Rattus norvegicus: one gene and its partner. The protein of the gene in region 2 purifies or fractionates together with the protein of the main gene of each other region. This does not show direct contact. Links are inferred from orthologs where the notes say so. Each region holds a gene or a part of one and is shown on either strand. Other genes may lie near its edges.

Region 1 (2,911 bases), on a different chromosome or scaffold from region 2:
ACTAGAGTTTCGGGGAACGTGAGCAAAGGGTACCTCGGCTCCTTGAATTCCACCCTCCTAAGACCCATCAGAGAGACAGAGTTCCTGAGCCCTCAGACTGAGAAACACACAGCACTAGAACAAGGGGCTGACAGGAGACAGCCCCAGCTCTACCATGAGTCTTGGTGACACTCACTTCCAGGACCATCCCGGACTTTAGGTCCCACTGGTACAGACTCAGAGATGGAGTCAGCAGCTGAGCGTCCCTCTGAGATGTCCATAGCAGCTTCTGCATCTAGGTCATCAATGTGACTGAAGATCCAGTCTACAGCCCGCTCTAAGCTATTGTTCTTGGAGAGGAGGGAAGTGTTACTTTTCCTCAGGAGTCAGTCAGGCACGCAAACATCAAGAGCTGCCAGCTTCAACCACACTGTACTGGGTTTGGTACGTTAACCAAAAGGCGTTCATGTAACCTTACTCCCACCCTGTCCCACTTGTGGCTCCAGGTCCCATGGGGCAGCACATACCGTGGCCCGTAGAGCTTTCAGGGCCTGGTCCCGTGAGAAGCCCATGGAGACAATGGTGGCCACACAGTCCTCTGGTGGGGGATCGGCTGCTGCACTTGTGGAGCCAGGCCCACTGGACCCAGGCAGGATGAGGGGATTGGCAAAATCTGGGGATGAGGAAGGGATGAGTGTTTGGGGATGTGTAGAGGTCCCGCCCCACCCTGCTCCCCCCTGCCTGTGCCTACCTGGGTCATCCATGTGTGACATGACCCAGTTCATGGCTGCTTCAGCACCACTGTTCCCTGTATAGTACACGGCTTTCCGGCAGGCGTCCATAGGGAAGCCCATCTCCACCAACTGTATGACGACGGACTCGTCCAGCATGGGCGCTGTGGTAGAATTGGAGCGATGACTTCCTGCTACTGTTTCCATTGGTTTCTTCACCTCCTCCAACCCCATGCCAAGCCTCTAGCCTTCTCCCAATCACCCCGCATGTGCTTTTCTCTTTCCTAGACAAGCATTTCATACCACAACTAAAATAGCCACAAGCAAACTATGAGCCTGGTATCCCAAAGTTGATCAGTTTTCTGCCATTTGTGGAGCTCATTCCCCTTCCCCCGCCCCACCCAAACCAAGGAAGTAACAAAGATACAGAGGCCATTAGCCCATGCTACCGACATCCACATTAAGAATGCAGATGGGAGTGTTTCAGCCCGTCTTCACATCCAACAAGGGTACACAGGGAGTTTGGAAGGGAGGACAGGAGAAACAAAGGAAGGGAAGGAAGGAATACAGAGAAGCCCTCCCCCATCAGCAAGGGAGAGAGACAGGCAGGAAGAAGAATCACTAACATGTTGGAGAGGAGAAGTGAGGGGAGCAGAAGGAGTCTTCGTCTTCGTTGCCATAGAAACCAAGGCTACCTTTGGGCTCATCCGGAGTGACCAGGGGTGGGGCAATGTCAGGCAGCTCCTCCTCTCCGGGCTGTAGCCCTGTGCCCCTCAGCTGGGAAATATCTAGCTCCTCTGGCATCTCAATGGACACATCTGCAATTGGAACGGTGAAAAGGTCACTTCGGCAGCTTCCTGATGCTAACCTGCAAAAGCACAGTAGACTGTCAAGCTCCTGTGGCATGCTTTAGATCTGCTCTGAATAGTTCCAACCATGGGAAACCTGCGAAAGGGCAGGAGTCAGAGGACCTATTATCTACCACGAGTGATAGACAGGCAAGGGGCCTCTACGGTCAGAGTGCCTTATACTTCTGAAGGGCTCAGTTTCCTCCTTGACAAAACCAAGACAAATCAAGAGTGCCAGGTTAGAGCCAGGGGCCTGTAAGACCTGCTTCAAGATTAACCCAATTAAAAGCACTGTCATCAACTAGAAAAACTGTAACAATACAATCAGTCATGACTATCAAGATAGTTTTAGCCAGGTATCGTGGCACATGCCTTCAATCCCAGCACTTGAGAGGCAGAGGCAAGCAAATCTCTGTATGAGGCCAACCCGATTTACACTGCAACTTCCAGGCCAGCCAGGGCTACACAGTGAGACTCTGTCTCAAAAACAAGGAAAAACTCAAAGAAGTTTTAATCAGTATCTTTTCAAACTAGATACATTTTGAAACATATACAAAATGCTTCCCTTTTCAGAGAAAAATCTGAGGAACACTAGTTGATACATGTTAAAACTATCTTTTACTAAGACTTCTTTTTTTTTTTTTTTTTAAAGATTTATATGAGTACCCTGTCCAGGGGCATTGGATCCCCATTACCAATGGTTGTGAGCCACCATGTGGGTGCTGGGAATTGAACTCAGGACCTCTGTAAGAGCCGTCAGTGCTCTTAACTGCTAAGCCATCTCTCCAGCCCCTTTCTAGGACTTTCTATATCACCACCCTCATCCCGAACAGCATACCCAGCTTCTTGGGCACCCAGTCTAAGCCAAAGGTGAACTTCTTGATCTGGATGACCAGGTAGTCAGGGAAGGAGGCAAACCGTGTAGTCCTGGAGAGAGAAAATGTGCTGGCACCCCAGAGCTCTCCTTTCTCTACACTGGTCTTGGTGTCTCTTAGATACTCCCTTCTCCTCTTGCCTGGGTAGAGATCAGGGGGTACAACAAGGAGCTGCAGAAGCAAAGATTTGATTGGCCGGAGCAGCATTGTGCTGAGGACTTGCTCCCTAAAACTGAAGCACCTCTTTAGGTCTCAAAACCATGCCAGAGGCCTGCTGTTTTCTAGAAGCCAGATTTGCCTTCAGGTGACACTAAGTGCCTGGGCTAGAGCATGACGTAGAGGCTGGCCATACTGGAAAAAAAAGCTTGTACTATAAGAGTGTTGGGAGAGGATAAGGTAAGAGATGGAATCATCTCCCATCTGCCCCACCACAGCCTCCTGGTACCCTCGGGGACAAACCCAGCCCAGGGCTTGATAA
Region 2 (3,669 bases):
CAGCAGGGGACCAGGGAGTTCTTGGCGGATCGCTCGCTGCAGCGTGAGAGCAGAGGTTCAGTCGGGCAGGCCTCTCTCAAACTCTGAAGAAAGCAAACCTTCCTCCCGGGTCCTACCATCGGATTCCAGCCGCCCTTTTAGTAAACTCTGTCCCTTGGTGCATTAAACTTCGCACGGGGCGGTGGTGGGGGATGTTGCTCCCTGGCTGCGCCCCAGCAGCGGCGCCGCAAGGGTTAAGCCAGCCTGTCCCAGCTGACAGTCAGCTGATTGGGCTGTGATTGACAGCTCCGAAAAGTTTCCTTGTTTCTATACTATTATGCTAATCGCTGCCGCTTTCGCCGCCTCCCATTGGCGGAGAGTGCCAGTCAATTTCCCATTTGAACCTGACGTCACGGGTGCTATAAAACTCAGCAATTGCTTTAAACTCTTCTCGCTGGATCAGAGGCTTTAAAATCTTTTTTCATCTCGGAGCTGTAGCTCGAGCTGCTTGTCCGCTCGGCCTCTCCCCCCACCCTTTTGCTCTCGGCCTTGCCTTGGTCCAGGACTTTGCCATTTTGCTTTAAAGCAAAAAAAGAAAGAAAGAAAGAAAAGAAAAGAAAAACCAAAACCAAAAGAAAAAAAAAAGGGCAAGAAAGAACTAAACTCCCCCCTCCCTTGCCTCCAGCCGGCCTGCACCTCGGTCTTGCACTTTGCACGGAGGGAGAGGGTGAGGAGAGAAAGAGAGAGCGCGCGCGCACGCGAGGGATCCGGAGAGAGAAAAGAAAATAATAATAGTAACCATAAGAGCCAGGCAGAAGAGGAGAGAAGCGTGAAGTGTTAACCACCCCGGTGTGGAGGCCCGCGCCTCCGGGACAGCCACCCGCCGCGCCACACAACCCCGGAGCAGCCGCCGCGCGCGCCCCGCCTGCAGCCCCGACCGGCTTAGGCGAGCCCTCCTTATGCAAAGCGCGCAGCGGAGCGGCGAGCCGGGGACGCCGCGCACCGGGCCGGGCTCCTCCGGCATCCTCTCTGCCGCTGTCATCACCACCGCCACCGCCAGCCGCGGAGGACCTTCCCGAGCCTGAAGCGCCCGGGATCGGAGCTCAGAGAGGCGAGCAGGCGAGGAGGGGGCCCGGGGCGAGCGGGAGAGAGAGAGAGAGAGCAAGAGAGAAAGAGAGAGAGCACATTGGCGTGAGCAGGGGGGAGGGAGGGCGGGCGCGGGGGGCTGCGGGCAGGGCGGGGGGTGTGTGCACGCTCGAGCTTTCGGGCCACAGCCACCGCCGCGCGAGCTAGAAGCGCCCTAGCCCGGCAAGCTGGCTCACCCGCTGGCCACCCAGCACAGCCCGCTGGCCCCTCTCCTGCAGCCCATCTGGCGGAGCGGCGGCGGCGGTGGCGGAGGCAGGAGGATGGCTTCAGAACTGGCAATGAACAATTCCGACCTGCCCACCAGTCCCCTGGCCATGGAATATGTTAATGACTTCGATCTGATGAAGTTTGAAGTGAAAAAGGAACCGGTGGAGACCGACCGCATCATCAGCCAGTGCGGCCGTCTCATCGCCGGGGGCTCGCTGTCCTCCACCCCCATGAGCACGCCCTGCAGCTCGGTGCCCCCGTCCCCCAGCTTCTCGGCGCCCAGCCCGGGCTCGGGCAGCGAACAGAAGGCGCACCTGGAAGACTACTACTGGATGACCGGCTACCCGCAGCAGCTCAACCCGGAGGCGCTGGGCTTCAGCCCGGAGGACGCAGTCGAGGCGCTCATCAGCAATAGCCACCAGCTCCAGGGTGGCTTCGATGGCTATGCGCGGGGAGCGCAGCAGCTGGCCGCGGCAGCGGGGGCCGGCGCCGGCGCCTCCCTGGGCGGCAGCGGCGAGGAGATGGGCCCCGCCGCCGCCGTGGTGTCCGCCGTGATCGCCGCGGCCGCCGCGCAGAGCGGCGGGGCACCTCACTACCATCACCACCACCACCACGCCACGGGGCACCACCACCACCCGACGGCCGGCGCCCCGGGAGCCGCGGGTAGCGCGTCCGCCTCTGCGAGCGGCGCGGGTGGCGCGGGCGGCGGTGGCCCGGCCAGCGCCGGGGGCGGCGGCGGCGGCGGCGGCGGGGGCACGGCGGGGGCGGGGGGCGCCCTGCACCCGCACCATGCCGCGGGAGGCCTGCACTTCGACGACCGCTTCTCGGACGAGCAGTTGGTGACCATGTCGGTGCGTGAGCTGAACCGGCAGCTGCGCGGGGTCAGCAAGGAGGAGGTGATCCGACTGAAGCAGAAGAGGCGGACCCTGAAAAACCGCGGCTATGCCCAGTCCTGCCGCTTCAAGAGGGTGCAGCAGAGACACGTCCTGGAGTCGGAGAAGAACCAGCTGCTGCAGCAGGTCGACCACCTCAAGCAGGAGATCTCCAGGCTGGTGCGCGAAAGGGACGCCTACAAGGAGAAATACGAGAAGTTGGTGAGCAGCGGGTTCCGAGAAAACGGCTCGAGCAGCGACAACCCTTCCTCTCCCGAATTTTTCATGTGAGTGTGACACGCGATCCCAGCTAGCCACCTTGTTAAATGCTCCGTGGGGGTCCGGCTCCTGAGTGGGCTTGCCAGTTTGCAGGGCCACGCTCGCCACCACCTCGCCCCCTCCCCTGGCGAGTTTGCTCCCCTTGGCCCTGCACGCACACACACACACACACACACACACACACACACACACACACACACACACACACACACATACACACACACACACACACAGCAAGCTTGTGGTGGTGGTGGTGGCTCTTTTGAGTTGGGGAGGGAAAGGGTATCTGGCTCATGGATTGCCAACCTGAATTCCCCTGTAACTTGCTAGCTTGGTTGTTTTGGTCTTTTTTATTATTATTATTACTCTTTTTACACCGCCTACCCCACACATACCCTGGACTTGCACAAGGGTCAAAGATCTGAGCAGGATACTTCATGTAGGACATAACTCACCTTTGAACCCGGCCATCAAGCGCCTGTATATTTTTTTTCTTCTTCTTCTTTAGTTCATGAGCTGGTGTTCATTCTCTGTGTGTGTGTTTTTTTATTTTGTTTGGATTTTCTTTTTTCTTCTTTGTTTTTGTTTATTATTACTAATTTTTTTGGAGCTTGCTGTGTTTCCCAGCCTCTGCCCTCCCTCCCTCTGCACCATGTTCTTGAGATAAAAGAAAAAAGAAAAAAAAAAAAGAGCAGGGTTTTTTCTTCTCCTCCTGAGTTCTTCTGATTGAGCTTGCAAAGGAAAAAAATGTGAAATGCTATAGACCTTGCAGCGAGCTGAGTTCCACCGGGTTTTTTTTTTTTTTTTTAGGCATTGTTATGCTAAAACTGAATGAATTAAAGCCTCTCCTGAACCTGCCACAATCAAGGCTGCATCAACCTTCTGGGTGTGACTTGGGAGCTTTGGCCTTATGATGCCAAATCTGAAAGTTTAGCCTGCCATTAAAAACAAACAAAAACACAAAAACAAACTTCCTCTCATCTCATGCATTACGATGCTTGCTACTTTGTCTTAGCGACAACGAACTATTAACAGTTTCAAAGACATTATGGGAAAGAGACATTATATTAATAAAAAAAAAAGCCTGCATGCTGGACATGTATGGTATAATTATTTTTTTCCTTTTCTGTCCCCTTTTGGCTTGGAAATGGACTTTTGAAGACTTAGCGCATGACATCCATACTTT

Evidence for each region. Proteins that work in one complex are often made in the same cells at the same time.
Region 1: the proteins of Maf (region 2) and Usp5 purify together in Homo sapiens (affinity purification with western blotting; 3 studies listed by BioGRID, with this or other methods). This does not show direct contact. The link is inferred for Rattus norvegicus from reciprocal best matches to the Homo sapiens genes MAF and USP5.

What each region holds. Positions count from the first base shown.
Region 1 is NC_086022.1:159,308,145-159,311,055, forward strand, and holds part of Usp5 (ubiquitin carboxyl-terminal hydrolase 5), read right to left. Parts: intron 2,486-2,911; coding exon 2,397-2,485; intron 1,529-2,396; coding exon 1,406-1,528; coding exon of another isoform or gene 1,337-1,405; intron 875-1,336; coding exon 731-874; intron 653-730; coding exon 507-652; intron 330-506; coding exon 176-329; intron 1-175. UniProt on the Homo sapiens protein: Deubiquitinating enzyme that participates in a wide range of cellular processes by specifically cleaving isopeptide bonds between ubiquitin and substrate proteins or ubiquitin itself.
Region 2 is NC_086037.1:60,618,896-60,622,564, reverse strand, and holds Maf (transcription factor Maf), read left to right. Parts: upstream 1-1,208; 5' UTR 1,209-1,385; coding exon 1,386-2,495; 3' UTR 2,496-3,153; downstream 3,154-3,669.